Arabidopsis thaliana: one gene and its partner. The protein of the gene in region 1 interacts with the protein of each later gene in a pairwise test. Each region holds a gene or a part of one and is shown on either strand. Other genes may lie near its edges.

Region 1 (15,671 bases):
TCATGTTTTAGTCTCTTTTAGTCAGTAACTAGCTCTGGCTTTAGTGGCTTCATGTATTTCTTTAGAGCTGGAGAAGTGTGATACATAACTTTACTCGTATTTTATTGCTTTCCTTGTAGCTAGTAGTAATACATTTCCGGCTGAATTGAAAGACACATTTAATACAAAAAGTCTTATATTATTATTAGTGTACCCCGATAGCTTAGCATTAAACAACATTCTTTTTGTAAACGTGGAGCCGGATAAATCAATGAATGTCTTGAATTCCCTGTACAAGAACCTTCCTAGATACATATGCAGTTATTCTGATGCTGGGGTGCACCAGCGCAACGGACAACATCGAGGAAAGTACTCTCATTGCATGGAATCCATAGTCTGGAGTCAGCACTGAAACCGTAAGCATCCTGTGCTTGATCCAGCAATGCTTGGAAGAGTGGGTGTTTAAGCAGGTTGATATTTATCACAAACCTCTTGTACTCTTCACCCACATAGACAACCAAATGTCCCTTAGGGACATCTCTTGGAATCACCTCAGCTTCCTTCTTGAATGCCCAGCAAATTCTCTCGTAGCATGACTCGCAAGACGCACAAGGTATTATGACTTTGCTCGTCATCTTTTTCAGTTTCTTTTCACAGGACTTAATGAACTTGCTCTTCATTTTAGTAGGAGGAGAAGATTAATATCTAATATAAGGTAGATAGATGGATAGAATGTTTTGAACTTTTTTTGATAGAGGAATATGTTTGTGAATGAATAGTACACAGTGAAGGACAAGTCTATATATATACGCAGAAGTAGAAATATCAGAGTTCCTTAATAAATGTTGGGACATGACAGTTAGCCAAAGAGGGTGAGATGGGCAACTTTTAAATGATACAGTACTTTATACAACCGTGCGGTTCTGTTACTTTTGTTGATAGAGTTGAAATACTGAAACTGTACGAACATACGTCTCTATGGTTAGATGTGATTAAAAAAATGATCTCTTTTTTTCCCTAGCTCACATTTGGTGTCAGAGTTCTTCAAGTTCACGGGGGGGATTAAGACCCCACAAGACAAGATGAACAGAGATAGAGAGGAGATAAGATCTGAAAGGAACAGGGTCCAGGGATGGGTCTAAATCTTCTTGGAGATAGTGATGACTTGGTTAATGATTCATGCATGGGTACTTTCAGTTTGATCTGCAGAAATCCAGATCTCTTGACTTTTCCTAGAGTTATGTTGGTTTTTAAACAGCTCAAGGCTCTAGCTCAGGTGACTTCTTGAACTATCTACACATGGTCTAATGTAGAACCATGCAATGATCAGCATTTGCAGTATAGTTAGGTAGCTTAACTTTTACAGGTGAGTTTGTATTTAACTTTTTACCGATCAAAAGCGTATAGTGATAGTTCAGTTAAAGAAGGCGGGGAAGAATGCGGTTCACAAGATTGAGATAGGGATGGTGAAAGGGTTATTGTCTCTAGGAAGGGTACATAGATGGAGAAGTGTCAATATTGGAGGGTCCATTATAAGAGTAAAACCGAGTATCATTGATTAGGGTTCATCCCCCTAAGGATTCACAAAAGATGTTCCCTTCAATAGAGTAAGAGATCCTCATTCTTACAACAATTCTCTTCTTCGAAAAATGTCTCTCTCAGATCTATCTACCTGTTATGTTTGTGTTGTGTGTGTGTTTTGAAGTTGGTTTTGGTCTGTCTAAGTTAATTAACAACGACTGCCATTCTGAACTAAGCTGGCTTCTTCTGACTTTAGAATTTATTGCGTGCATGTGCAAACACTCTTATGATGCAATGTTATCTCTATATACATTTCTCTTTCATGGAAAAAAAAGAAAAAAAATTAATCATCATCTTATCTTGGCCATAGTTTATGTAGAAATTGACTTCTCAGAGTCTGGACATTTGTTTCATGTTTGTGCTTTAATTTTAATGTTTTGTATTATTTGCATCCTAAAACTAAACTAAACCTTTTAATAATGTTCTATTATGTGTATGTCGATAATTGTATTTTTTTTTGATAAAATTGTAAAATTTATTGATAAAGTGATTTGATCTATAATATTTTCGATGTTTTTGCTCACGTGTGAGAAACAAACCAATTTCCCCTCTGTTTTTGCAGTTGTAATTTACTACAATTCTTTGGTTTTGGTTCTGGTTTTTGAGATTTGAAACATTTGCAGTATAACAGGTGGCAGAGACCATGAATTTTCAGACAAAAAGCCTCTAGTGGTTGTGTTGCTGCAGTTTGTTAGTTTAATTGCATTGGAGGATGGAGCTTATATAGAGGGAATAAGCTAAATGCTTTTCTGAATTGAAGTCATTCTCGGTTTCATTAACAGAAACTTCACATGGAACAACTTCCCAACACAGTTAAAACGATTCAAGTATCTATATAGCTTCTCTAGACTTTCTCCATGAAGACTATCAATATCATCCACTCTTCTTCTTCTTGTTCTTTGAAGTGCTTCGGCTTCTTGAGGAATCATGAACAATACACGGTGATTTGGAGAAGGGATATGGATGGAGTGAAGCAAGTTCTCTTACACGATGTAGAATATCCTTCGGTATAGAGCGAGCCACTGACTTTCGTTTTTCTTCAGCCTGAACATCTCAAACTTTGTGTTACAGAGGATTTCTCAGAATATGAATTTTTGTTGACAAAGGAAGAGAAAAAAGCAAACCTGTCCATCGTTATGCTTTTCGTTATAACTTGCTTTCAGTAGATTACGCCATTTGTCCTGCATTGAGGAGAAGAACTGAGTCACCAATCACTACTAAATGAAGAGCTTGCTTTTGAGGTGAATGAATGATGAAATACTCTGATATCAACGGGTTTGCGGTGTGCTGCATAATGAAAGAAGTGGTTCTTTATATCGGTCCATTTCCCAACACCAAAGTGAGAAATACCATCAACCAAATTCATTACTTCATCAAGAGTCCATATCCTCTGATTCTTTCTCCTGTCACTTTTGGTTCTGGATGTCTTTGTTACAGAAATGTCATCTTCACTCTCAGATAAAGTAAGCTGATCATCAGAAAATGTTTTCTCCTGCAATAGCAGATGGTATTTGGTTTACATAGATTATAAAAAATGGGAAAACTCTATAGTCTTAGAGAGTAAGACAAACCATTGAAGTGTGAATGTATTTCTTCATAGGTCCTTTCCGGGGCCTGAAGTCATAGGACTCGCAAGACTTTCTTTCACGAGAAGAATCTAATCTGTAACATTATACAAGAGAGCTTCACTAGGAAATCTGAAGCCAGTGGGATTATATATTCAGAATAAGACTTTAGTCACCGATGATTACCTACTACAAGCGGTGTTGAGCAATTTCTGTTTCCGATTCTTTCGTTTAATCCAAGAGCCTATAAATGTGGATAGTGGTTTCTTGTCATCTTCTGACTCATTTGTATCCCAACTATCTTTAACTTTTTCGCTGGATACAATCTGGGATTCAGCATATGGAACAGTTTCTTTTGACCACTCCGCGAGTCCGATGCTTCCACTAATTCCAGGAGAATAAGATTCTGAACTGAAGTTCATAAGACCATAGGGGTCACCCTCTAATTCATTCTTCTTGACTTCAGTTTCTGCAAGTAAATGATTGAATGGATTGTGAACCGTATAGATTGCTCAGTTGCACCAGGATGATAGAATCACAAAAATTTTACCTGGAGGGAAATGGTTAACAATAGAAGAAAGCTCATGTGATGCGTAGATATCTTCCACTTCATCAACTCCATCCAGAATTCCATCAAGAATCTACGAGATGACGAAGAAACTTTATTTCACGAATGACCAAGAAAAAAAAACCATGTAAAGGAGTGCATAAAGAGAACACATACTTCAAACTTTAAACCTGCTTCCACATCTTGAGTGCTAAAAGTGTTAACTCCACCTTAGAAAAAATGAAAGAGAACTCTAACATTAACCATACTCCCATTTACAATGTTACAAAGCCATTCAGCATAAAGAGCATTTGAATCGACTTACCATAATCTGGGAGAAAGCTAACGTCAAATCCATGTGAAAACTCCTCCATCTTGGAGGTTAAGCCCATATTCTCCATACCAAGACCTAAGAAACTGTCCACCGCGGTATTATCATGATGAGGATCCATTAGGAAATGCTTCATGTCACTCATTTTATCCTCCATTGAATGGCCAAGATTCTCATCAACCTATAAAGAAAATATATAAAAGTCATGTAATAAATTCATCATCCAAATGTAGAAAACCAAGAAACACACAAGTGATGAAGAAGAAGATGTTCTCACACTGGCAGATTTGAATCCAGCAAAAGTATCAGGAAAACCGGGTGTTGTTTCCATCCCAAAAGGTCCCATTTCAAGTCAAGGTCCAAGTTTTTACACTGCAAAGAACCAAGTATATGTCACAATAATTGAACAGAACCGGACAATGTTGCCCATAAACCAATCTAACTTACATGCTACATTCACGAAACTAGATCTCATTTCTCTCTATATATGCATGTTATCCCAATCCATTAGATTCATCCATGTTTTTTAAGCACTAATAAACAAATTCACAACATGAAACATGTTCTCTCCAAATTAAAAAACATTAATTTGCCTCAAATCTAGTGAAAATATATAAATAAGTAATATAAGATTTACTTAAGAACAGAGGACAGACATTCTATGCAATTACAGTATAAAGAAACAGAGTAGCCAGACAAATTTCTGTCGGATGATCTCAGTCTCATTGACAGAATAGATAAACACAAATAAAGAAAAATCAAAACTCTCAGCAGCTACAGAAGCGTCAATGTTTTAAATGTTTATCACAACATTCAAAATGCAAATGCAATATAGAAAAAAAAAAAAAAACATAAAAGAAATATACGTATAATGTGGGCCATAGAGACGACTCACAGCTGTTACATTAGAAAATAATAATAAAAATATAACTTTCCAGGGAAGAAAAAAAAGAAAAGAAAAGAAAATCCAGCTGCTTAGCTTATCCCCTTCCTTTAACTAAACACCTGCAATTTGAAGAAACTAACAATCCGAGAAAAAATCGAACGATATCATACATTACATTTGTGTTGGAAAAGAGATCGTTCAAGTTCAAGAGAGAATCTAACACAATGTCAGCGAAAAGAATAGTACTCGAAGCTAAGAAAAAAGATACCAAAGAGAGACGACGAGAGGAGACGAAGAACACTGACGCAGGAGGGGAAATGGCGACTGTTAGACTTGGATTTTGTTTTTTTGTCTTTGTTTCGGATTCCAAAAGCTGATTTATTTAGTTTTGAAATCCAAAATGACGTAAGACACCGTCAAATATAACGTGCGTTTCAAGTCCGCAACGATGGACAGGTGGAGTTCATGAACATCTACTGTTATACTATTAAGCTGCTGACTTCGGATAACAGTAAAGTTGTGACTAAAATGTGGGCTTTCAAGGCCCACAAAAGGAATACTTGCCGTTTTCAGTAATTGCAAACTACACCTAAAAACTACAGTCTCTCTATTTTCCTTGCCGTTTTTGGTTTAGAGAAGAACACTCCTTGACGTTTTCATGCTAGCTAAACAAAGTTATACATAAAAACTTAAAAAGAGCCGAGGACATTTAGGATTGGCCTTGGACTGCTTGGACGCCAGGAGGATCTCCGCCGGAAATCAAACCTCGGATCTTGACATCATAGTAAACTTCTTCCACTCTTCTTAGGTCGTACTTCATACCTGTCACATGTCAAAATCGATTTTTTTTTTATGTAACCATCGCAAATGGAGAAAGAAGAGCAGTTAGAGATATGTATGACTTACTGTCGAATTTCTTGCGCAGGAAATCGTTCCTGAGATTGAGCATGCGAAAGGCTGCATGAAGATCTGTCAGGAAATTCATCACCTTTCTTGGGCAGTCATAGTCTCCTGCTGTCACTCGATTAACCACGTACCTAGGCTGCTCAAACATTGCATCACCCATTTGCATTTATCCAAAGGTTTTTCATAAGTTGCTATCAAGTAGGATGCTAAGGGGGAAGATGGAAAGTAAGATTTAGGGATAAAAATGATCTTACCAAATCGTTTGACATGAAACAAATTCCTGCAAAGTATTCAAAAAGCTGAAGATCAGAGAATATAAAAGCAATGTTGCGATTCATAAAATGCTCGTAAGGCATATTTGATCTATAGATATTGGCCTTCCAGAGCAAATATGGGTTCTTTCTCAGAAACTTACCAGTGAGATAATCTTCTGTCTCCAATCCAAACTCCAAACTGTTCACTGAAGTACAATGAAGTGGAATTAGAAGAGCCATAATGGCAGATGAATTGACCAACACCTTGTTCTGTTTATTTTACTCAAAGACAATTGATTTGACAAGATAACAAAACCCAGATTTGAAACAAAACGACACTTGGGCAAATATCTATTCTACACCAACGTAATGAAAAACCAACCTTCCAATTATCATCCATCCATCCTAAGGGAGAATAACTGAGTTCATGGGAAACGGCAACTAATAACTCTATTGAGGTGAAAAAATCAAATCTTAGCTAAATGGTTGACACTACAGTGGATAAAATGCAGACTGAAACAAAGCCTAAGGACAAAATCAATAACAACGAGCAAGAAAAGGTAGACTAATTAACATACTGATAAGAGAAGAAGACTAGTGGCAAACTGAATCTGATTATTGAGAAAAGTAGAAAACTCGTTCATTTAGTTTTTCCAACTGAGACAGGTCAGGCAAAAGGAGGGTCACAGGATAACACGTATAGTATGTTGGAGTCATGAACGGATTTCAAATTGATTGCCTACTGCCAGCTCAGTTGTTACCTATTGTGGGAAGGAAGTTTCTATACAAAAGTTTGTGAGAGAACTAGCAAAACAAAATAAGGTTTTATTTATAGTGCAACCACTAGGCCATGATATGTATTTCAGTATTTGGAAGTAAGGAAAATAGTAAATTGAGATCCAGAGACATACACCCAAGTTTTTCTTCAGCTTCGGTATGCACGAGAAGAGTTCCAGTTTCTAGCCAGTGCATAAAAGCAAGCTGGGAGACCACTGCCTGTGTTTCACTTCTCCAGTCTCCATGGTACCTACATTACAAAAACCTTTTAACAAAAAACCATTGCAAATAAAGAAAATCTAACTACACATAGCTTTCAAACTTACCTATAGTATTGTCCAGGACACTCCTCAAGAATTTCAGCAAGCCGACCATAATACTGCTTCAAATCAACGATTTTTTCCTTAGCTTTCTCGATAACCTCTGATCCATCAACAAAACGAGCAATCTATATTAGTAACAACCAAACACTTCCAATGAATTTCTTAAAAGAACAAAGGCTATGTGTAATTCAATATTCATTCTTTTCTCAACAAGTTCTTCATTTTTAGTTACTTCCCTTCATAGAGAACTTCATCACCAAGTTCTGAACCCATCAAGCCATTTCAAACATTTAGCTAAAAGATGCAATTTTTAACCTAAAGACTAATCATTTACCAGGAATAGGACGCGATTGATGAACGAGAAGAAGATTAGCTTGAATAAGCCTAGTAGCAGACTCAATCTCCATAACCACAGCACGAATCTGCTCTCTCAAAGCTGCAGATTCTTCCAATTGAACACGGAAACTCTCGAACTGCTTCTCAAGCGAATGAGACACCTGACCATCTCCTCCCGCCATAGGAATGTAGAAAGAAGAAAAGGAAGAAGTCGAACAGAAGGGAAAGGAAGATGAAGGAGACACCGAGTTTCTATGCCGGAGAGGATTGGAACGGCGAGGAGAAGCGTCGCCGGAACAGAGAGGAAGAAAATGGAGAATCGAAGAAGAAAAGGGCTTAGGGTTTATCAAACGAGACGCAGTGATGTGAACGTTTCGAAACGCCGAATTCATCATCGTGTCGTGTTTTTTAGTTACGCCGCTTCCCTATTCTCTTTCCGACATCATCTTAGTAACCAATTAAACCGGATCATATAAACCAAAGAATCGTAACTGAAAATAAACCGATTTCTTTGTATATCATTCTCTGTATGACTCTATCTTACCAAAACCGGTTACCATATAAAGAAAGAAAAAGCATGATGAATAATCACCATTATCTACAAATAAAAATTACAAAATTGGAATTCTAAAATCCCTTCTTCTCTAATTCTATAAACTACTTATATAACTCATTTAATATTTAACGTATGAAAAATAGAAGAATTTTACAAAATGTAAGCTTTTTAATCATGTGTAATTATTAGATTATTTCTTCTGGAATGTAACCATGCAGAAATAAGCTATGAATCGGCATATTAGTCCCATGAGAACGAGAACAATGAGACACAATATCCAATCACTAAGATCATATCCGTTTTGAGACAATGAACTGCATCTAGTCACCACCCACACTCCAGAGTACCTAACCCAAAAAAAAGAGTCCAAAATCAAATTTTCTGAATTAAGATTTGATTATGTGTTAGAAGAATTAAATCTTCAAACTTTCTACCTTTGAGCATTGGAAAGGACAAAGGCTTCGAGAGTCCATTTGGGGTAGCAAAAGCTTCCGAGATACTTAAGGACCATGCTTTCTTTATCTTGATTAGCGATAAGAGTCATAACAACGGGGACTAACACCGACAACTGCAAGAACATAACAGCAAATTCAGGTACCATATGGTTAGTGAAAATTTTGGTTCCTTCATATATGAATTATGAGAAAGTGAGGACAAACCAATTGTGCGGCGCTAGGACTGTACAATATGGCAAAAATGTAAGCCATGCCTGTTACACAGTAGACCAAGCATACTAGTACAATGTAGTTGTCTTCGAAACTAGATCTCGGGTTGTTGAAGAAGTAGAACATGGACAAGTACACTAAAGGTTTCATAATTGTGTTTAAATGGTCCATTGTGTCTTTAGCCATAAAATGTGCCAAACTGCTAATTCCAGCGGCACTTTCTCTCCAATATTGTAATTTATCTACAGAGAATGATCTCAATGCCGAGATCTTACACAAAAGAGCTACAAAAAAAGAAAGACATACAGAAAAGAGCTTAGTTAACGTTCCAAAAATCGCGAATACTAGTAAATGTAAATTAATATTTGTGTACGTAAGAAACTTACAGACAGCTATTATGGTGTATGTGTAGCCAAGTGTATCGATTGTCTCGTCGTTCACCTTCGCAAGAGTTCCTAAACAAGCTCCCGCAACTAATAATATTAGGAAATCTAACGCTTGTAGTCTTGCTTCTCTAAGCCGTTGTTTTCCAACCCTGAAATAGATAGACTAAAGTTTTAATGTACATATGAAATTAACCACAAAATTCCATCTATCAAATCTAGAAAAATCATACCTTCCAACAAAATATCTATATTGTCGACCTACGGTAGGAGTTACTCGATTAGAATTGTCATGAGAATTCGAGTAATTGTGTTGTAACTGATCTTTTGTAATCTCCACATTAGTTTTCACATCTTGCCATAGATCATTACTAAAAGAATTATGAGTGGAATCCTCTTGAGCTGATCCAGTTGACGAGGAAGGAAGTCCATCACAAAATTTCAACATATCGTGAGGCACAGGGTAACCATTGTGCAGCATCCATCTCACAGGAAGTTGTTCTATAGTTATATCACCATCTGGTTTCACAATGCCTTCAAGAATATCTATATAATGATCAGGAGGATTGACACGATCGGGAACCGTGATTCCGATATCAGCAAAATATTCTTCTATTTTTTTGACTGATCCATGGTACACGGTAAGACCACCTTTTGCTAGTATTATCATGTCATCGAACATTTTGTACATTGTATAACTAATAAGAGGAAAAAACCAATTATTAAGCAAAAAGTATTTCTTAACATAAAATTGTAACATAATTCATGGAGGAGATAACATACCTGGGTTGATGGACGACCATACAAATGTTAACACCTTCAAGTGCTTCACGTCGAAGTGCTCTAAGAAGTAATTGTGAAGATGCACTATCTAAACCTGTAGTGGGTTCATCTAATATCAATAGAGAAGGTTCCATGACCATTTCAACACCAACGTTCACACGTTTTCTTTGTCCTCCAGAGATTCCTCTTTTTTCTATCGTACCAACCAACGAGTCTCTTACATGTTGTAATCCTAAGCTTTCAATCACTCTTTCAATGATCAAAACTTTGTCTGCTTTTGACATATAAGCACTTAATCTGCATGTAAAGAAACATATATAAATAAATGATATGCAACATTTTTTTGAAGCATAAACACTATGTAATAAAAATGTATTTTTTTAAGAATTGGACTCTCAATCTCCTCTATGATATGAGAATAAATTTACCTGCATCTTGCGCTAAATCGAAGGTTCTCTTCGACGGTAAGATTGCCATGCACAACATCATCTTGTGGCACAAATCCAGTGATCTTCTTATACGAGTTTATAGAGTCATTTCTACCATTTATAAGGATTAGACCCGTCCTCGTACATCCAGTTGCTTTTCCTGCCAAGGCAGAAAGAAATGTAGTTTTTCCAGCTCCTGATGGACCCATGACCGCAGAAACACGACCTGGCATGATCTTTCCGGTGACAGATCTCAATATATGCTTATGTTTACCCTTCAATGTAAGAGTTAGATCCTTAAACGCGACTTCTATAACAGGTCTAGTCCTCATCTCAGTGTCAGTAGCCATTGAAATAACTCCCGAGAATGTCAAGTTCTTGTTGTTTTGTTCCATAGCTTTCTCCTTCTCAATCTGACCATATGCATACTTAAAAATCTGGCTTTGGGTATGTAGTTGTTTACCCTTTGGAGCTTGTGGCTTCTTCCCAGGTTTACTACCGGTTCCTACATTGAATCCTTCGTTGTTACTCGGGTTCTCCTCCATTGATTTCATCATCTTGGTTAAATTACTCGGTTCTTTTTTCTTGTCTTTTGACTTTCCCGATGCTTTAACTGGTGTGGCATCCTTTCTAGCAGATTTCATGCGAGAAAATGTTTGAGATAGTTGTGCAGACAATCCCATCTTTTGGTTCTTGGCAACACCTTTTGCGGTTTTCCACCTTTCTCGAGCTTGTGTTGTTTCTTTTGCATGTCTCGCTGCAGCTTCTCTCGACTTTGCTTGTCTTTTTTCTCGAGTGGCGAGAACTTGATCAGAACAGTTATAAACCATGATCATGAGAAGACTTAGTGATGCCTATATATACAATAACGAAAATATAATTTCCAACAAATTTTAAAGCAAAATGTATTCTAATTAACTAACAACTTACAATTAAGATCGCTCCATAGGCATGAATATTTTGGTTTGCGGTATTCGGATTGCATGTTGCGAGCTTAAAACATGCTAAAACGGTCACCAAAAAGAGAATTAATGAATGATAATGATATTATAAAACAATTCATTTTCTTAGGTTTTAGTGTTTTAGAAACTTACGTTTCTGTGACGTAGAACCTTGTCTGCAGTAATGTCTAAGTAATACATAAAAACATTAATTACATCCTTAATGATGAATATTTCATATATGAAACAAATTTTCAAAAAGTAACAAGAGTTGTGAGATAAAAGAATCAATACCCACTACTACAAGTGACTTTTCGAATCGTTGTTGGGCAATATGAACCTGGTGAACAAAACATATCACCACTACTCTCAGCATCAACCCAACTATCTGCAGAACCACATGTATGATTCAACTTTCCCGGAGGAATTTGGTAGTTATATCTGCAATGTAAAAACTCTTTAAATCATCCACTAATAAGATTTTTCATTAACTTACTCAATCTAGAAAGCTAACAACTTACGGCTCACAAAATCCTGTTGTTTTATTAAGCTTGGCAAGCGGGCAATATGCGCCTAACGGACACGCTTCGTTTACATAAATCAGAGAATAAACAACAATGAATATGTTAGATTAAAGTTTTAGTACTTATAATGTTGATATAACATATATGTATGTAAATGGATATCTTACGTATCATGCAAGCAAGACCTTGTGGACAAAAGAAACCCTCACAACAAGGTTGACATTTACGAGTTCTAGATGGAAGAATTTTTCCATTGTTGAGATCAAATCTTTTTTCATCATCTGCATTGCAACTCCATCCAGGCTCACATCCGGAAACCCATTTAGCTAAATTGCAGTTGATGTTAGGCTTTACATGAACCGTTGTTGCTTCATCTCTTCTAACAAAACTACTAAAGTAGAACTTTATCTCCGCAGCTGAACATAGTCTAAGTGTGAGGTCACCTGCATATCACAAGACCATTAAATCTCAATGTTCAAGTATTTGAATATAAAAACATAACCCTTTTTATGTTGTTTACCATCATTTTTCTTGACACAATTGCTTAAGAAGTCCAGATTTTTATCAAAATTAAATGCTTCATTCCAATCGCCCTTCCTGAATTATCAACAAACGATATGAGAAAAATGTAAAATTCAAACATGGGACTACATTAGCTGATTTTGAAAAGACTTACAAATTCTTGATGCAATAACCTAAATCTCGATCAACGTCAGCCTTTAAAACAGTCTTTAGATTCTGAAGTCGAGTATAGATAAGGTTTGTAACCGAAACAAGAGCTTTTGGGTTCCCTGTTTTGCTGTAATCATCTCCATCCAGAGATAGTGCAAATGACATAAAACTCAAGCCAAAAACAAAGAACAAGAAGATGTGTTGTGTCCAACAAACATCAACCCTAACTCTCATTGTTCTTATATCAAAAGTCTTGCCTTAAAATCAGAACCTTCCGAATCGAAATATCTGAACCCTCTGACCTAACAATAGAATAGATACATTGGAAGCTACCAATAGAAATATCCGTAGAGATGTCTTGTGTTTTTCTATCATGTCTTGAGAAAACCAATGAGTATATTCTTGAAAAATGGAGATGAAGGATTAAAAGAAAGCTAACGAGCTTGTTGTAGATTTTTTTTGTTCTCTTTTAGAAAATCTTGAAATGTTGACGTTGAGATCAAAAGTTGGAAAGTTGAAAAATGAGAGACTTGCGTGAAAGAAGAGAGTTGAGAAGGGTCATCATGGAAGGAGGTCCAGATTTCTAGCAAATGAAAAAAAAAATGGGTGAGAAAAATGATTGGTTTCTTAATTATAACTTATTTCCAAAAATAGAAATAACTATATTGGAGGAGCATGACAAATGATGATTCTTTGGATTTCATGAGAAATTTTTGTTTATTTAAATAGTGTTGCTTAATGATTTCAAGCATTACTAAAAAATCACAAATCAATAGTGAGAAAAACAATATAAACATTATAAACATATGGCATTATTTTTTAATCAATTTGTTTCCAAAACCAAATAATAAGATTATCAAACAATATTATTAGTTGTTTAGTGGCAAAATAACATTACCAAACTAAACAACATGATTTGACTAAATTATCCTTATCTGTTACCTCCTAAACTTTTAAAATCCTAATTTTAACACTCTAAATCAAAAGCCTAATTTTACTAATGGTGACGGCGTCTACGTTCCTCCTCCTCCGCGATCTCAACCTCAGATTCCGCCGTCGTGGTCATCGGCTCTAAAAGCATCGCTGTGAACGGCATATGACTGTAACCATTCACCGGATACTGAATTCCGATTGGCTGACAAAGATCCAACCTACAACTCGGCGATTGTGGCGTTTGCGTTTGCGTTTGCGGCGACGTCATCGACGACGACGACGAGGAATCGTCCGCCGCAACATCAACCCAATTCGAAATGAGCTTAGTCCCGTAGCCAGTGGCGGCAATAATCGACGGTTCAGCTTGACTAAGAAGCCATTCGATGGTTTCTCCTTCAGTTTTGTGACCGAGCTCACGCGTTAACTGGAAAATCCTAGCGGCGGCGAGAGCCGGCATCGTAACTCGACGGCTTCGTCCGTTAACCTTCGTGTGACGGTCTTTAGTCCTGGCGGAGATACATCCGCCGCCGCTCGAGGAGGATTTCGAAACACCGAACTGCGTTTGGGAACGCGATTCGGAAGCTATAGCGTTGAAGTTGGACTCATTTCTGCACACATTCTGAAAAATCATCTCCGAATTCGTCGATTTTGTAAACTAATTTCAGTGACGATGAACAAGGATTCACAGAGAGAATCTTAGGGTTACTAAAGGAGGGAGAAGAAGATGATTCGAATTAACTTTTGGATAATTTGGGCTTTTAAGCCCAATATAAGGCCCAACATGATCCACTCTGTAGGAAAAAAAAAAAGGGAGAGAGAACAAAATCTGACTTCCATGGCAACAAACAAGTTTTAATTTTTACAAAAAAAAAATTGGGAGTGTGTGTGTCGCCTTATCTGTTCGTCATGGCTCTGTAGAGTAGCCTCATGTTCTTATTCTTCTTCTTCCTTAGCCATTCGTGGAAGCAAAAACAGAGTCTTTTATTCTTTGGTGATTCTGTGAAATGGAAGCTACGAGGAACTTGGTTTCTTCATCTCCTTCGTTTCAGACAAAGACTCATCTCAAGAGCAGCTACTCTTCTCCTTCCTCTGGTACTTCTTATTCAGCTACTCTTCATATAGAAATATTGTGTCTTTGCTGGATTTGTCTCTGTTAGTTACTGGAATTTGAAGTTCATGGATTTCAATTTGAAATTAGTGTATGTATACGAGTTTGTGTTAGCATTTTCTGATTTGTTTTTGTTCGTTTGTTGGTATTTCTGTAGTAGTGATGCTTCATGATCAAACAACAACTCCTGTTGTTAACTCACGTCATCTCAATTCTCTATCTCGACATTTTCCTGCGTCGGTTCTCTCACAGGAGCCACGGGAAGAGTCTAGGCCTCTGTCACATGCGTTAAGAGACGATAGAACATCCCAGGTGTGTTTTATTAGCAGCAATATTGTCCTAAGAGATTGAATCAATCATAAAGTTGTCAACTTTCTAGTCCTCTTGTTTAATGCGATTGGGTTCCTTGCATTTTTAGTTGACTCTGGAGAGGAGGCAGTTTGATGAATTGGTTTCATCTCGAGAAGATGAGAAATTTGAACAGCAACTTCTTCACTCTACTGGTTTATGGAATTTGTAATGTCTCTTCCTCTCTTAAACCCACCAGTTTCAGTTTTCATACAACCTTTTGAGTTTTCTGAATGATGTAGCCTTTCTTTTGTTTGCAGATTAATATCTCCTTTAACATCTGAAACGAAATTGCCGGCAGTTGTGTCTCCTTTAGCTGATGCAGAGCTTTGTGATGTGGTTGCACTAGCTCAGAAGGCTTTATCAGCTTCAAAACAAGCTGCATTGTTAGTTGATGACACTGAAGCAAATCCATCTGACAACATCAAGGATTCTCTCTCCACTAGGTTGCTTTTTTTAACCTTGTTTGTGTATCTTATCAATCTGCTACTTGTGGGCTGTAATGTGAAAAGATTTGTATTTCTGGATGTTTGGTTTTAGCTCTTCTATGTCCTTACCGGAAAAGGGAAACATAGTAAGATCGAAGCGGCAGCTAGAGAGACGAGCAAAGAACAGACGGGCTCCAAAATCAAACGATGTGGACGATGAGGGTTATGTTCCTCAGAAAACTAGTGCGAAGAAAAAGTATAAACAAGGGGCTGATAATGATGATGCGCTTCAGCTCTTCTTGTGGGGACCTGAGACAAAACAACTTCTGACTGCTAAAGAAGAAGCTGAGCTGATATCACATATACAGGTTCATGCTTTCCTTATTCATGTGTCCTTGGACTTCCTTCTTGTCCCTG
Region 2 (18,125 bases), on another chromosome or scaffold:
GGAAAAAATTGACTCAAACATATAATCTACTGATATGGCAAGCTTTTTTCTTTTTCTGTAACTAGTAAAATGGAATTCTTAATTACTGCAAGTCTGTAACGGTAAGGTTTGAGACTTGAAAGAGGTGGATTCTGCTTAGGTTTTCTTACAGGAATGTCGGTAGTTTGCAAATGTTTTTTCTAAAGCCTGTAGTTGCAGAGTTAATGATTCTGAAGCATGTAAAAGCTCGCAGTTCACACTTTTAAAACATTGAGGGAACTGCTGTTCTGTTTATTTATATTGATAGTTAAAGATTCCATGACAGTTTACTTGTGGTTGTTACTTCTCCATTTGCTAATTGATCTACTGATGATGCAGATAGATATTGGCCCAGTATTTGCAATTGATTTTAGTGTCAAAGATATCCTTTTCTCCGTTTTACTAATCTTCCAAATCTTATTATTGCTGAGTATGAAGCCATGTTTGTTTGATGATTTTTGTCATTTTGGATATCTTTGATCAGTCCTTAGCATTCATACAGATCCCAAAGATATTAAAATGGGAAGACTATATCGTTCCCACCTCCAACCAATGGAAATGGCAGGTAGCAGTGTCTGCATTGTTTGAAGAGCGACCTGTGTGGACAAGAGATTCCATAGTCCAACGACTACTCGATAAAGGTCTTACATGCACACATCATATGTTAAACAGGTGAACAAATTTTATGCATTTCTTATGTGTATTATTACTGCAATAACCAACTTTCTGGAGTTTTCTCTGCAGGTTTCTTCTTAGGGCTGCATATTATTTCTCGGGTGGTCCATTTCTTAGGTTCTGGATTAAAAGAGGCTATGATCCACGGAAAGATCCTGAATCTCGTGTGTGAGTTCTATCTCTTTAAGTTTATTCATATTACAAATGCATGGTCTATGACACGGTAATGTAGAATTGTCATTTGTACACCTCAAAATAGAACAGAAATAGGCCGGTTTTACACCTCTGAACTTCCTCGTCTTCTGCAAAGTGTTTCGAGAATGATACATATTCTACTTGGCTCATTTGAGAGCGTATTTATCTTCCAATGCAGAAAGTGTTGGTGCTGACATTATCCGGGTTTTGGAAACTTGCTTGACATGAAATTTTCTTCTGTAGTTCATATTTTCCTGCATCCAGACTGCAGCTGTATGTCAAACCTCTTCACCTCTAACCTTTTTTATATTTTGTTTTTTTCAGATTCCAGAGAATGGAATTCAGGGTTCCACCTGAATTAAAGGGTTATTGTGATTCCAATGCAACTAACAAGTAAGATTTTCCATTTTTCCTTGTAAACTCAAGATATTTTTCTACTCAAGATTCTCAATTTGTAATATATATGGACAGATAAACATATATCATGATAACATTTTCTTTGCAAGTATTGATTTGTGGTCAATTGTATGAGAACATTATAATTTTTAAAACAATGCGAAGTGTGTCTGAATTCTCTAGAAACGTGTCATTTTCCGATTTTCAGTCACTTTCCGAGGATAGCAACCTAAATGTTCTCTTTTAACAGTTTCAAGATAGTTTCTCAGGGAACATATATATGAATTTACATGGAGAAATTGCAAATAAAACATTGGATATATGTTTGAAGAAACGGTCCAATTATAAAGGTGATGTTTTCTTTCTTTCTTATTTGTGACAGGTCAAAGCCAAGCTGGGATGACATTTGTGCGTTTAAAGTATTTCCTTTCAAATGCCAAACATTTCTACAGTTATTTGAACTTGACGATGAGTACATTCAACAAGAGATAAGAAAGCCTCCCAAGCAGACTACTTGTAATGTGAGTTATCAGCTAAAGCTTTTGTTAATGAAGTAGATTCCAAAAAAATTAGAGTCTTGCTTATTACAGATCAAACCTATACATGCACTTGCAAAAAATACCACTACCAAAACACTGCGTCATCAATCACACACAAATGATATATTGAGTGGAAAATTGTTTTATGTGAGGTCTTGGTTATCTGTACTGATTTGTTTTTGTTGCTAGTATAAAACAGGATGGTTCTCTGAAGCGCTGCTTGACAATTTGAGACTCCGTGTAGCTGTGAGGTTTGTATCTGTGTTTCCTGAGCCAGGTTTCGAAGACGTTTTTAAATCTATTCAAGAAGAGTTTGAGAGGTCTGAAAAGACACGTATTCAGAAAGATGCACTGCAACCAAGTCAACGGAATCACCAGGAAACAACTAAAGGTAAGATAGACAAAGCAATTTCAGTTCTTTTCATCTTTACATGTTAGGCAGCCTAGTTAGTGATTGTTGACATGCATGGAGCCAAGTGCTTCTTTTTCAAATCTCAATGGTCTCAAAATTGTGTTAAAGCATGGTGAACTTGACTGGAGTTAATTTGTTGGACATATTGTACGACGAATTTGTAAGTAAATATATAAGGGTGCACAATCACATGTGCCAGCCAAAATCGAATGAGGCAGGCATTTTATATTGTCATACATCTCATGCTCTGCTTATTATCATTTGTCATCAAACACATTCTCCTTAAAAGAAGTATGGATTAACAGTTGTTGGTGTAAAATTATCCGCAGATATGAAAAAGTGTAAAAACACAAACAAGGAGAAAGATGATGATGTTAATGCGGATGAGGATTCTGAAGACTTGGATGATGAATACGAGGAGGTAACCATGCTTACAAACTACTTCTTGTTTACTTCACCCATTAGTTTTCCCGAAAGGCTTGTTCATCGTTTCTCTGTTAATCTAATGTGTTGTGTTGCAGGCTGCAAATGATGATGACATATCAATAAGTTCTCATGGATGTATCCTTCAAAGCATAAACTTTCATAACATAAGCACCAATTAGTCATTAGTACATGCAGATTCTAGGGGATTAGGAGAGAATTTAGAGCTTGATCTGGTTTGGTTTAAAGTTTTTCTTAAACAATGATAAGATGGTGACATGGAGAACAACTCCAGAACCTATCTGCAAGGTTTGTTCAATAGGTTTCCAAGCAGCGCATCAGCTTTGTATGGTAGTGCCAATGATGATAATGATAGCGATGGAGAGTATCCGATTTACGAGCAAGAATCCAACGCTCTCGACGATGACGAGGAGGATGATGAGTGAAGAAGTTTGAATATAACGTGTATTTACATTGTAAATACGAAACTCGGTGTGTGTAGCTAAATGTAAAGAGACTAGATTTTAACCCCCGTATACCGCGGGACGATTTATTTTTTAAAAGTAATATAAATTAAAACTTGCAAATTTTATTTTTATAAAATATTTATATTTTGCAATTTATAATTGTTATTAAGTAACGCTATACCACGAATCCATGAGACAATTGTTAAAAAAATTGAAGTTTTAACCCTTATTAAAACAACATATTAACAATATTTTCAAATTTTATAAATATTGATTCAAATACATCCACCATATAACCCAATTCCAAAATAAAACCCGTTTTGTAATTTCTTCACCCATCCCGTGATTTTTTTTTAAAGTAGTAATTTTTAAAATTTTAGAATTATTAATTATATATATAAATTTTGCAAATTGTATCATTGTTTAATACATTTAATACATGTATATTTTATAGTTTAATTTTATATATAGTAACATTATACATACAAACATATCATTTTTGGTTTTATATAATCTTTTTTTAAATTATGATGATTTGATATGTTTAGTATTAGTGGTCTTAAAAAAATAATAAATTAAAGATTTAATCCGTATTGAAACGGTTAATTAATTATATTTTAATTTTTTATTAATGTTGATTCAAAAACCCGTCTCTCCAAATTCGTCTTGCCAAAAAGCCATTTATTTTATTAATATTAATTTTATTTATGATATGACTCTAAATTATAATCTAAACATTTTAGCTAATAACATAGGAGTGCACCATATTTATTTAATAGGGAAATGTATCATATGACCCGAATGCACTTTTACCCAAATCCACCAAAAAGGTCTTGCAAAAATACTATAGAGATAAGAAACGATAGTTAGTTTTGATAGGTATAAGATTAGCAAATATATTAGTTAGCTTAAATTAGTTAAAGAATACAAATTGAAAAGGTATATTACACTTTATTCGAATATAGTATCAAAATTTATGTAACACAGAGATTTGATAAATTTTTAATTGTTGAATACTTTTTTTTTTGCTAATTTTTATGTAATTAAGATTTAATTGATTTCGTATATAAAATATGAAATTATTTTACGAACTTATTTGTTTATAATTTGGTAACAGATAGATATTTGAATATTCAGTATATTTTGCTTCAGATTAGGAAATCTTTGATGACCCGTCTTTAGATCCAATAAGCCCTATAATTAAGAGATGAATATTGTCGTTAAATGATTTTGGTAACCTTAATGACGTCATAAAAGGATTTTGTTTTTGATTAAATTTTTCTAATGGCATTGTTATGTAATTAATTATAAAAGTTAAGGTTATATATAAAATATACTTTCCAAATAATATAGTAGGATTAGGTAACGGTTAATTGTAATTTCAAACGTGAGATTCATTGTGCAAATTAAAGAGAATCTAGTAAAAAATAAAACTAAAGGGTAAAAAGTTAAATTATAAAAAGATAAGATCCATTGTGCAATTAAAGAGAATCTAGTTATTAAAGATTAGATATGCGAATAATCGTCGTCACAATCTCTTCCTCATATTTATTTCTCTGGTCTTATTTATTTATTAATAGGCCTCTCTGAATCTTCTTCGGTACGAGTATGAGCCACGATAGAGAGTTGGTTTCGATCGTTAGGGGTATTTTGGTCAATTGACATGTTCGTTGGCCCATCTCCGCCGCACACACCACTCGTTAACCGCCGTAACATCAACAACCACCGGCCTCGTAACGCAACCGTCACCTCCGCTTTACCTGATATTTTCCTCGCGGCGGTCTCTCTCCTTTTCCTCTGGTCATCTCCTAAACCTCTAGTCTCTCTTCCTCCGAACAGATTCTCTTTCCCTCTAAATCCTCGCCGTCGATCCATCACCGCCATGTCTCGCCGATCTCCTCCTCCTCCTCCTCCTACTCAACGCTTCGCTAATCCTCAATCTCTCTCCGATTGGCTCGAATCGCGATTACCTTCCGATTCATTCGCCGCTTGGGGAGTCAAACCGGGAACCAAAAACGTTCATAACCTCTGGCTAGAACTCTCCGACGGCGAAACTTCTCTCGCCGATTCAACTCCTCCAGTACGCACCGTCAACGTCGTCACCGTTCGAGTAATCGGAAAAAACGGACGAATCCTAGTGGAAGCTCATCAGGAATTATCCGATGGGAGTATTCGTGAAAGATTTCGTCCTTTATCAGAGAAAATGAAGCCTGAAGAATCTCCCGACGAAGCAGTTTTTCGCGCCATAAAAGAAGAGCTCGGATCTATCTTCAATGGCGATGGTGATAACATTGGACAGAGAATTAAGATTCTTCCCGGAACTTATAACAGAAGAGTTGAAGAAAGGAACTCGCTATCGTATCCAGGATTACCGGCGCGTTACGCTCTTCACTCTGTGAATGCAACGGTGGAGGGATTACCGGAGCAAGATTTCTGTACGGAGGAAAAAGAGTACGAGGGAGGAGACTCGACGAAAGATTCGGTTGAAACACTCGCCGCTGGGAATGCTGTAACTGTGAAACGACATTACTGGAAATGGGTTAGTCCTGATTCGATTCGATCTTAAAAAAAATCTCAAAACAAAGCTTTTCACAAATTTTATCAATCTTGCTTTTGATACATGAATAATCAGAGAGCCATGTAGAGATACATATACACATTTATATATGTTCATAATCATCTTCTTCGTTTGGCTATTTTTGTGTTAGTGGATACTATTCTCCAGAAGTTTTGATCTCACTATAGCTTATCTTCTTCGAGTTCATTGTTTTGTGCTGAAATTTGTTTAGCTGAGATTTTGTCAATCTTTCTAATTCGTCTTGCAAGTTACAGAAACGTAATCCAAATGTATGTAGTTACAGATCTAACGTAGATTCTAACTAAAACTCAACAACAAGCTCGAAAGATGTGTATGTACACACAAATGTGTCACCAAATCTAACGTATGTGGAATTAGTTGTACAAAGAACAGCTCCTGCATCGGAGAAAACAAAATTCCTCTAGTTGATGATACAAAATTGAACTGTATATAATATATCAATTTGTTGGATCACTATGGAGCTTGTGTGGATTGGACTTGACGAACGAATTGGCCTTTGATTCGTGGTCGTTGCTCTGCTAATTTCTTCCGGCTCTCGTAACGAACCTGTTAAGTCATTCAAAGGTTCCTTTAGTATCATTACGTTATGAGTTCATCTATGTGATGGAACCATCGAAGTTAAGTTTTTACCTTTTTCTCATAACATCTGTCCTTTCGCTTCATTCGGAATTTGGTTAAAGCGGCTTCTCGTTGAAGAGATTGCTGAATTTTCCCGACGGATAATGAATAGCCATCTTCGTTCTTCTTCTCAATAAGCTGATCAATGTGATTGCCTATTGCACTATGTTCGGTTGCAGAAGAGACGTATCTCCTCTCATCTACATCCATGGAACAATCCCGGTCTTGTAACCCCTCGGGTTTACTGTTGAATGGGTGAAACATGGAACTGTACTCATGCGGGCTAACGGAACTAGGGCTTGGGGAGAGTGAAGCAGGAGCCATTGCAGATGTATAAGCTGTGTTGGGATCTCTGAACTGTATATTGTTGATAGGGGTTGGCGTAGGGTATGAACTCTGTCCCGGCCAAGAATTCAGCTGATTACTAAACGGTGGACCAGGTGAGTCAGCTCCAGTGTAAAAGCTGGTGTCGTTTCTTCTTGGAGCATTTGGAGGCGGTTCAGATGTATTGTATTGGTTCATTAGCACAATGTTATCATCTTGACTTGCTGCAACATTCTTTCTTTGATCAGTAACCACTGGGGAGGCTGAACATTGTGTCTGCAACGGCCTGTGAACGTACCTGCAACAAGAACATAACACACACAATCAGCAGAAAGAACGACAACTATTGAACGATTAATAGAAAGAAGAATTGAGAAATTAGACAACTCACCGTGTGAAAGCTGAGGCACTAGAAGGATGAAGAGAAGGCCGGTCTCCAGAAGATTGGTTCTCAGAAGCATTAGGTCTTCTCAGAGAAAGATCAAGCTCTATCCGAGATTCGTATTGAGCAACACTTTCTTCTCTGTTACGTCGTCCAGTTCTTCTAAACGATGCTCCCATGAAGTCAATGGCTTCTGCTTGCTTACTCTGCAACTCATTTGCTAGAAGCCGTGTCTCATTAAACTGAGACTTTGCGCACTCCATCTGTACTGCGTCTCTCGCACTAACCTCCACGTCTGCGCTCTCACCTTCCATCTCTGGTCTTGTACACGAGCTCTGGGCATCACCACCATTCCCACTCACAACATGATCGTCTCTCTTTCCGTTCGAGTTGTTTGCAGACGCACCCTCGGCTTTCTGCTGTCCAACACTCTCATTCCATGGAAAGCTATCAGGAGCAAGTGACTGTAAAAGATAATCAAAACCAAAAACAAATCTGAGAACTCAATCATCTTTTCAAGACAACGAAATTTCCCAGAACTTATATAAGAACGGGTTTAAGTTGTAGAGATAATTCATCACACATAAAGCTTAAAACAAAAGATGGATATGAAACATACAGTTTGTCTTCTCCAGACATGCTGCCAAAGATTTCTAAGCTCATTCCTCCTCAACGGCTTAACAAGATAATCAGCCGCACCTTTCAACATACACTTATACACAGTATTCACCGAGTCCTGTGTCGACATCACTGGAAAAAAAAACAATACATAATGAGCCAAAAAATCATTTCAAAACGATGGAAGAAAAAGATGTATATATCAACGTACTTATAACAGGAATGTTCTTGCAAATATCATGCTCCATGATAAGTGTTAGCAGAGCATATCCAGATATTGAAGGTAGATCAACCTCTGTTAATATCAAATCAACACTTTCAGGCTTTCCTTTTAGCATCTCCCAAGCTTTTAAGCCATCAGGTACTGCAGCAACTGATCAATACACAAAACCAAACCACATTAATACAAATCCTTTTAGCTTGTTGTAGAAACTAAGCGTTGATAAAGATTTCTATATGAACACAAAACCGACAAAAAAATCGTTGACTTTTCTAAATTTGACTTTGAATTGTAACATTTAGCCGCACGCGAATCAGATTCAAAACATTAGCATCTCAATCGAATTCATAATTCTCAGATTCTATACAAACAAAACCTAAATCTCAAGCATTGAAACCAGAAACTAACCTCTGTAACTACATTTCCTGAGAAGAGCAGCGATAATCTGTCTAGTAGAATCATCAGCTTCAACGAGCAAAACTCTAAGCGCGATTTTCGGGAGAAATCTCTCCCACTTCACCAAACCATCAACACCGGCGTCTTTCTTCCGAATCTTCCGACGTGATAACTTTCCTCCGCCAGCTTCAGGTGCTTTAACCACCGTCACTTCAACTACTTCCTCGCTACTAGTCATTATCACAACACAAACACTTAGCTTTGAAAAACCTAAATCGATTATTGAAGAAGAAGAAGAAAGCTCCAGAGAAAGAGAAACAGTTACAAAACAAATCAAAATATTTGTGAGTGGAGAGATAAATGAGAAGAGAGCAAAAAAAAGAACTTTATTCTTTCTATAATAGTGTGGAGAAAAGAAAATATCTAGAAAAAATCTAGCGAATGTTTTAACGGTTATGATTGAAAGTGGGTGGCGAACCGACCATGATCTAACGGTTGTGGAAAGAGTATTTGGATTTGAAAAAATATCTAGTAGAATTGGCTGACGTGGCCACGTTTGCCACATCAGCAAAATACTGTATACGAGACAAAAGAGATCCAATACGCCAAATAACCTTCTTTTAAGAAAAAATTGGTGTGGTGGCTAGCCTTTGGTTTTTCTATGTGGTTCATATTTAAAGTTGGATTTAATTTTTTATTATACTTTACCAAAATATTTATTGCAATTGATGTTTATGTATTTGTGATGGAGAAATATTTAGTGAATTTCTTGTTTATTTTTCTTTTAATAAGAGATCAACACTAAACATTGAAACTATTACTTATTTGATGCTTCTAAATTTTACTTTTATTTTAAAATGTATTTTATATTATTGTTCAGACATTTTAGCTTTTGAGTACCTATAAAAATCCCACTCGTGACTTTTGGGATAATACCAAACCCAAAAAATATCTAATGCTAGTGGGAAAAAGTATCTATACAAATTTATCCAAAAACAATTGTATTATTTTCTGTTTGGTACATAGGTTTGCAATTTGTTTATTTTAAAAACAATAAGGATATTTCAATTTTTTTTCACATAAGAAAATCAAGGACACATGGTATAATTTATTTTCTGAAATAACAAATAAGAACTTTTTGTTAATGAATTAATTATACATATATTTCAATATTATTTTTTGGCACAAAAAACATTTGCTTACACCAAATGATCACTGGTGCTAACTAATAGCAAATGTCATATATTATTTTATATTTTTTCGGCCAGCCATATATTTTAGTCACGAAATAAGAACACTTTAATATTGATTTGCATTAGAAAAGAAATGGAACAATCAAACAAATGAATATCGATCATAGAGATTCATAGTTTACCAAATTTTTATCAACATTTTGGTTTTTTCTATTGCTACTATTTTGGTTGCGTGGTGGAATAAATCAAATGGAACATGCACGAGTCAAGAGTAGGGACAAAGGGTGATGAATTTTAAAGTAATTTTCCGCGGCTAGATATTTTGTTGTTGGGTGGGATTAGATTAGAGACACTTGTTTAAAAACCTCGTGGTTCTTTGGTGGATAGGAATATGACACGTGTATGGTTATTATCTGACACAGTCTTTCACCTTTAAATGGTAGCTGTCACTGTCAGAGACTAAATATCTTCTTTTTTCCTTGTCTCTTTACGCGCCCGCGAGTGTAATATATCTCTCCTACTCGCTCTCTTGTAACAAGAGTCTTGTCCTACGCTATGACTTTCTTTTTTATTGACTGGACCCTATGGTTTTCTTCTCTTAATCAAACTTAGTAAACTACTAGGTAATAAAAAAGGACAATTAGTGTAATGATCAATCAAACAAATGAAGAAAATGGTTAATAATAAGCCAGGTGGTTTAGTTCCTTGTACTAGCACTTCATGCGTTAAACTGAGAAATAGGTTTAGGCCGGCGTGTTTTATTGACAAAAGAAAAATAAGTGCTATATAGGAAAACTATGTCAGTGACAAATTTTTATTGTTGTTAGATGGGTTTAATTAACATTGTTTTACTATATTGTTGCTGGTCACATAATTGACAGCATATATTAGAAATTTTATTATGATGTTGCTAATAGAAATGATATAAAATAGACAAAATAATTAAGTCGCATTCGTCCAATAATAAACCAGAAAATAATTATTCGTCATTTGGATTTCAGTAATATTGGTCACCGAAGTTCGAATTTTAACATAGTTTTTTCGGGCTTGAAGATTACTCTTTGGACATAAAAAACCATTAAAATCATCTGAATTATCAAAAAAAATTTGTATAATGATGATAACGATATATAATGTCAAATAATTTTTACGGATAACAACTTTACTGTGGTATCTAAATAATAAGTTATTTTTTTATAATATGTAATAGAAAGTACGAAATTCGAGAAAGAATTACATTTTTAAAACATTAGCAACTGTTTTTAAAAGTAATCACTGTTCTATGATCAATACTTATTTGATAAATTACAACTATTTGAAAGTATATTTATTTTATTAATCAAAAAGATAATATGTGGGGCAAAATTAAAATTCAACTACACAACATGATACTTTGAAACAAATTTTTTACTATTTTTGTTTTGTCGCCCAAACTTTAAATTACTTGAACTCGAACCTATGATATACAGACGAGCGTAATAACCACAATTGACTAATAACTCAACGATATATAAGAAAAAGAAAATGTTTGATTAATTGGTTGGATGATGCTCTACGCACCGGTGTTGAAGTGTAGTGGATCAATGACTTTTGGCTTGAGGAATAAAATCTAAAGATATTTTGGCCTAACTTACACTGAACATGCTCCATCTTTTTTCAAACAGATATTTTTTGTCTGTGTGATATTTCCATGGCCTCTCTTTTTGTGTGGCCAACTTTGATATTTCCTTTTTTTTTTGTTCTTTACAGTATGTGTATGATGTTTTTCTTCATTTTTAGGCCACTTGAGATATTTCCATCTTATAATATCATAAATGGCTAATGGTCTGCTCTATGAACAAACAAACAAAAAGGCTAATGGCTTATCCATTTTCCCAAAAAACTTAAGCTAGTTGGCATTAATGGTCTTCAAAACATCCATACAATCAAACATTATCTACGTTAGATAATCTAACCAATCCGTTAATCTAATTAAAGATTATATGTAAATCTTGAGATAGGCCGATATTGATATCATGGTGGATAAAAAAACTTCAAATTAATTTTGCTGAGTTGCATGAAAACAATGTTTTGCCGATGTTTTAGGTAATGATTTTTTTTTTGAGTCAATTCCATCTAATATATTTAATCGTCATCAACATGTTGTTCTATCTAGACCACAAATGAATTTTGTCTTTCTATGGTTAAATGTTTTCACTGATATGTAATAGTAATATAATGGGTTAGTAATATTAGATAGATATTTTTGAAAAGATATCTTTATAAAAATGATGCGTGACAAAATCTTAAATTAATAAATTATTTTTATCTATAAAAACCAAAACTATAGTAGATTTGATCAATAAAGATATACCTTAGATTTGTTATTTCCTAATAGCCCTAATGTTCCTTGTATGTAGCAGTAGGCGACTACAAGTTAGAAGAAACCTTGATACATATGTTCAGGGCCAGCCCTGACATTTTGTGGGTCAAAACTCAAAAAAAGAAAATTTAAGGTTAAGTTAGAAGGTTAAAAAATTTGGGGCAATTATTGGAAAATGAGTAAAATAAAGGATGCTTTGTAAATAAGCTTTGCTGAAAAAAATGGAGGTCACAGCAAATGTTTTATCCTGCTGTGTCCAGATGTGTCGAAGATCAGCTCTGCATATGCTAACGAAGGATCTAAAAAAGAATATGTAATTGGAAAATGCTTAGTTTCTACGAGACAAGTCGTACTATAATAAATACTAATGCCAAATTTAAAACATATTATTAGAAGGAAAAAAGAATCAGTAAGTAAAAAACAAATAGGAATGTCTAATTATTACTAGATTAACCCAAAAACAAATAGGAATGTCACTAAGTAAAAAACAAAACTCTTTGGAATGGATGATTTGAATGAATTTCATGGTTAGTTTACAATAGCCAACAACACATGGATCTCTAATTGTCCACAAAACCCGTGATTCCTAAGCTTATTCAAGATCCCAACATGCAATAGCTTTTTTCTATCTATTTGTTTACGATGATTGAGATTATTAATCATTATTACAAATTAATAAATGTCATTTTTACAACAAAAATCATTAAAATACAGTGCATATCATATAAAACAAATTTTGTACAATCAATTTCAATTTGTTATCATCTATTGTGAATATTATTTTTCTAAACCGATGCAAGATTGATAGTATCCAAAATATTACTATTACATGATTTATATTGTCTAAACTAGTGTATTTTAAAAATCTTATTGTGAAATGCCTTACAATAACAAAATTTAAAATTTTCACTTTAAATATTAATCTCCCAATATTATTAATTTAGAGAGGTTTTAGTTTTACTGTAATTAGTATATTTGACACATATTTTGTTTCTTACTTATAATTTTGATTAAAGATTAAACAAATCACTAAAATTAATAATGTTGGGACCATGAATTTCTATTAATTTATAGAAGTATTAATTTATAGAGAGTTTAGACTAATTTTATAATTTTAAAAAAATATTGAGTTTGAAATAATTTTGTTTTATTTATAATCATTATTTTTCTAAAAGTAATTGTAAATAAGAATAACTTATTGTGTCTATCAAATAACAAAAAAGTGTTTTCGATGTAGTAAAAATATTAAAATTGAACATTGCCAAGAATTAGTATAATAAAAATAAAAATAATAGCAAATTCATAATTTACTAATTTTTCTAACATATAACATATATATATTTTAAAATTTTTTTTTCAATTATTAATTTATGTTATTAATGGGACCATATATTTACATAGAATTTTTAAAATAAGTATAATCTTATTAATTTATCGATTTGTGTTATTTTTTACACTGGTACCAACTCGGGACCGAAATTTTTTATTAATTTATACAGATTATTAATTTATTAAATATTAATTTATAGAGGTTATACTGTAGTTAGCATAATCAATTATTATGTTAGCTAATTAATGACTAAATCACACGCATATAAAATAAACTATGTTGAGAAGAAAACAAAACACAAAATAAAGTAATGACCAAATTGAATTAGTAAGAAAAGCATTGTCCACATATATTCTCACTATTATTGACGGAAAACAAAATCTTAATATGTAATCGAGCTCAAAAATCAAAATACAATACTAATTTTTTTAAAAACCGTATAACCTTTCATGAATCATTGTTTAGATTTTTATCCTTGACATCACTTGGTGCATGCTTATGACGTGTAATGAAGATTTTGGTCGATATCTTGTTGCGATATCACTTATGAATTTTCTTTTTGTCAAACAAGCCTTTTGCATTTCATTCATTTTATCCCCTAAGAGCAAAGGTTACAAAATTTTCGAGTATAAAAAGGTTACAACAACTTCAGAGAACTAGAATTAACAACAAGAAAAGGTCGATAGCTTTTATAATCCATAGAGGAACAGAGACAGAAGCAATCAAACAACAAGCCACATATGACCTCATGATGTATCATAGACACTTTCGCGACCAAGTCAGGGAGCTTTGGTGTAGTCACGATCAAGAAAACTTGATCTTTTGACTTTGAAAATGTGTCCTTTGCCACATGGCTTGCCGGCACGAAGCGCAATAAGGACGTAAGGACCAATGGTGGAGACTCATGGGAGGTAAAGGTTTTTTCGGGTTTGGTTTGGGGCTCTAGGTTTAGGATTAACGGGTAAAAATGATTAGAGAAGATTTGGTAACCACCGTTCCTTGGAGACGGGATCATAATGCCATTCTTCATCAAACTTTTACTTTCAAGAGTAGTGCCCAAGGTGTAGCTAATTATCTCAAGGATGAAGTCAATAAGCAAATGAATCGGAGATGAACACTTAAAGAAGCTTCGGTAATCATCGCTCCTTAGAGACGGGATCATAATGTCGATCATCTTCAAACATTTAGCAACATGAATAAGACACCTATGTGATTCTAAAGACAAGGTTCTCAAGAGATTTTTGTACCAACCTAGCAGCAATGTGTGATTAAGACTCAATCGATGTCCATTAGCAATTGGTATCATGAATCGACACAAATGCAAACTAAAAGAAGGCAAACATCAAGTTGAATCAAACCTATGATTTTGCGGAAACGCTTTGGAGGGGCCGGGCCAAGTCATTAAAGGAGATGGGTCATTGCTTTTGGGGATAGGCCTAGAATTGGTTAATGGGCTCAAACATGAGTGGCCCATTAAGAGAAACCGTAGCAAGGCTTCCGTTGAACAGAGGACGGTGATGGTACGACGGATCTGTGGTGACAGATAGGACCTCCGATGAAAGCTAAGCGATGTCGTTGGGACTGAGATCATCAACGACGAGGTACACACATAAAAGAGATCGGAGGTAAGGGTGGTGATGGATGAGATCGGATCGGATTTAGATCGGAAGAGATGGGGTTGTTCTGTTGGAGAACACTTCAAAAAGGTCGATGCAGACAAAGGCTGAGGAGAAGGAAGGGTCGCCGGCCAACTCCTCTGCCCTCTGTCACTGGTCAATGAGCAGTCGAAAAAATGAATCGATTGAAAATGTGGTCGGGATGATTGAGAGAAGAGCCAAAGCATAAATAAAAAGAGAAAGAGGTAACAAAATGTGTGAAGCAACGGAAAGAAATCCCGACGCCGGTGAGCAGAAGCTTCACCGGATGACGTAGTAAGGGTAGACTCTTCGATATTAGTGCTTGGAAGAGTTTTAGTGATTATTTAGTTTGTGATATACACTTACGAATTTTCTAATGTTGAACATTAGTCAATGAAAAGGTTTATGAACGTCAGTACTAGTACATACTAAACTAAATTTACTACACTAAGAAATTACCACAAAAATTATGTAGAATTATCAAATTTTATTTGTGGAAATGTGAATGTAAGACCTTAATTTTATGAAAATTTTACAACAAAGAATTCATGTAACTAACTAATTTCTCATATAGAAACTAAATTAATCTTGTAAGTAAATTAAGTCTCATACTTTCATGTAATGCCAAAAGAATTAAAGAAGTGATAGTGAACACACATCTCAAATTAAAGGGACTAATTTGTAAGAAATGGAAAGAAAGGGGTTTATTTCACAATTCTTCTCGTTTTGCATATGTCATCATCCTTATCCATTTTTCACCTTATCCAAAATATTTTCCACTTCCTTTCTCACTACTTCAGTCTTCAAGCTTCACTTCTCAGAAGAAAGTAAGATCTGCGAATCTCTCTCACTCTCACAAATGGCAACGCTTTTAGGTTTCTCTCAGACTAAGTTTCACCATTGCGGCGTCTGGATTTCTACGCCGCCGTGCTCATCTTCTTCCACGGTAGTCTCAATGGTGGGCTTGAATCGGACTGATTCGAAAAAGCTCCGTTCAGATTTCCTCGGCCAGATTGGTTACGAAGATCGGAGACAAGTAAGACACAGTTACTGTAGAAGCTCATTAGCTGTGAAAATGTCGTGGGACGGTCCTCTTGCTTCCGTCAAGTTGATCATCCAAGGAAAAAACCTCGAGGTTTGGATTCTGCTATTACACACTTGAAATTGATTGGATTCTGAACAAAATGTTGAATTTTATGTTGAGTTTTTCTGGGTTTCGATTATTGAGGAATGTTCATTAGAAAAGTTTTGAACTTTCTGGATACTGATTCTGTTAGGTTTATGATAGTGACTCTTGACTCTTACTCAGTGGGATTTATGTGTTCAACATTTTGGTTTTGATAGTTGAAGTTTGTTGTCTTCAATCAATTGGTTAACTTTGATACTGTTGTGGCAGTTATCAGAGCCAATTAAGCAGCATGTTGAAGAGAAAGTAGGCAAATCTGTTCAGAAACACAGTCATCTTGTGAGAGAAGTTGATGTAAGACTCTCTGTTCGTGGTGGAGAGTTTGGTAAAGGCCCTAGGATTCGAAGATGTGAGGTAAACATGTCGTTTTTATTGATTTGTTGTGACTTGATCTCGATATTAGAAACGCTTTCAGAAGCTAATATGTAGTTCCCTATGGTACTTAAGGTGACATTGTTTACAAAGAAGCATGGTGTTGTGCGTGCTGAGGAAGATGCTGAGACAGTATACGCTTGTATCGACTTGGTATCAACGATAATACAGAGGAAGCTGAGGAAGATCAAGGAGAAGGACTCAGACCATGGAAGGCACATGAAAGGTTTCAACAGATTGAAGGTAAGGGAACCAGTGATTGAGCCGGTTGTGGAGGATGTTGAGGACAGTACTGACTCGAGCGTAGGAGAAGAAGAAGAAGAGGATGATTTGATCAAGGAGGTTGGTCCAGACTTACCTAATAGGCTAATGCCTTATCATTGGAGTTTGCTGATCTTATGATGACGTTTTCTGTTATTGCGGGTTTTTCTACAGATTGTCCGTACCAAGACTTTCGAGATGCCACCATTGACTGTCGCTGAGGCAGTCGAGCAGCTGGAACTAGTCAGTCACGACTTCTATGGCTTCCAAAATGAAGAAACTGGTATGCATGTGACAATTTTATTTTCTTCCATAAATACTCGATTGCTTAAACCTCAGAGGAGTCGGAGGAAGATCAACAGGAATACTTACATTTTGATATTGTTTTTGGTTTGCAGGTGAGATAAACATAGTGTACAAGAGAAAAGAAGGAGGTTACGGTCTGATAATCCCAAAGAAAGACGGGAAGGCCGAGAAGGTTGAGCCGCTTCCAACCGAGCAATTGAATGAACACTCTTTCGCCGAGTAGACTGCCTCTGCTCACACCAAAACCGATAAGCTCATCTCTCCTTACAGTTTACCTGTGTAGGAGTTAGGGTTCTTGAATAAACAATGCAACAAAGATTGTAGAAGTCAGTGTACATAAAAAAATGGCCAACCACTCTTTGTTACTTTTGTGGTGAAAAGGAAGATCTTAATTCTCTTTCCATCAGATGATAGCAATACATTTTTTCATAAACAAGAATGTTACATAATAATCATACAACAGTCATCATCATATACATAAATGCCAAACTTGGTTTGGTTTAGTGACTCTATTAGGCCAAAGACCGATAACCTTGAGCCGCTGCTTCGCTGTTCTTCTTGCTTGTATGTATACCGAAAGAACCTTCTTTTCTAGGCTTAGAGAGCAACCTGGATAAGAGAAGAAGAGATGCCATTAATATACAGTAGGAGTAGAAGCCATTGAACACAGCTAACGAACTTGCCTTCGGCTGACATTGCTGCTTTCTGGTTCATCATGAATCTCTTCGACGTTATAGCGTGGATTCTGCAATGAAAATGAGACATATTAACAACACAGTTCGATTCGCATCGCATCGGTGAACACTGCAGAGACCTAATCCAGTTCTACTGCTAGTAATAACCTAATACATTATGACTATCAATGCCATTGGAATCACATAACGTAAGGATATGCAATAGTCATGATCACTCACATTGTCTGAAACTGATGTTGAAATCTTCATCTTCTTGCTTTTTTTCCGAGCAATTCCACCATCATCATCATCAACATCATCACATTTCCTCTTTTTCTTCTTCTTCTTCTTCATCAACTTCTTCAACTTCGAAACAACTCTTGATTTACCTTTCTTCTCTCTCACTTTCCAAACATTTCTCCTCCTGAAAACAAGTTTCTCAGATTTCCAAATCTTAAAGCTAGTATCAATCACGGTCACTTCACTTCTCGAAAACCCAACTAGATCTTTCTCTCCTTTCTC

What was found.
Region 2: the proteins of AT2G37000 (region 1) and PRR5 interact in a two-hybrid assay, tested with the Arabidopsis thaliana proteins (one study listed by BioGRID).

What each region holds. Positions count from the first base shown.
Region 1 is NC_003071.7:15,538,720-15,554,390, reverse strand, and holds AT2G37000 (TCP family transcription factor), read right to left. Parts: upstream 14,146-15,671; 5' UTR 14,002-14,145; coding exon 13,435-14,001; 3' UTR 13,143-13,434; downstream 1-13,142. Other genes in the region: AT2G37030 (SAUR-like auxin-responsive protein family), read right to left, coding at 285-659; TRFL8 (TRF-like 8), read right to left, coding at 2,434-2,604, 2,685-2,741, 2,822-3,052, 3,132-3,222, 3,312-3,594, 3,676-3,766, 3,850-3,902, 3,998-4,184 and 1 more; AT2G37020 (Translin family protein), read right to left, coding at 5,599-5,711, 5,796-5,931, 6,050-6,075, 6,211-6,255, 6,961-7,076, 7,153-7,249, 7,484-7,880; NAP12 (non-intrinsic ABC protein 12), read right to left, coding at 8,232-8,388, 8,476-8,609, 8,701-8,990, 9,093-9,241, 9,323-9,787, 9,873-10,175, 10,307-11,154, 11,231-11,304 and 6 more; SIGF (RNApolymerase sigma-subunit F), read left to right, coding at 14,375-14,462, 14,636-14,790, 14,897-14,994, 15,087-15,272, 15,367-15,622.
Region 2 is NC_003076.8:8,350,027-8,368,151, forward strand, and holds PRR5 (two-component response regulator-like protein), read right to left. Parts: upstream 8,521-18,125; coding exon 8,295-8,520; intron 8,040-8,294; coding exon 7,878-8,039; intron 7,799-7,877; coding exon 7,668-7,798; intron 7,513-7,667; coding exon 7,058-7,512; intron 6,965-7,057; coding exon 6,355-6,964; intron 6,271-6,354; coding exon 6,178-6,270; downstream 1-6,177. Other genes in the region: AT5G24450 (Transcription factor IIIC, subunit 5), read left to right, coding at 358-400, 519-690, 763-861, 1,213-1,281, 1,667-1,805, 2,013-2,214, 2,565-2,656, 2,757-2,796 and 1 more; AT5G24460 (RING-H2 zinc finger protein), read left to right, coding at 4,789-5,691; AT5G24480 (Beta-galactosidase related protein), read right to left, coding at 13,805-14,372, 14,526-15,010; AT5G24490 (30S ribosomal protein), read left to right, coding at 15,664-15,939, 16,201-16,344, 16,438-16,704, 16,798-16,906, 17,022-17,152; AT5G24500 (fantom protein), read right to left, coding at 17,442-17,538, 17,613-17,674, 17,844-18,125. UniProt on the Arabidopsis thaliana protein: Transcriptional repressor of CCA1 and LHY, thereby controlling photoperiodic flowering response. Involved in the positive and negative feedback loops of the circadian clock. With RVE8, forms a negative feedback loop of the circadian clock.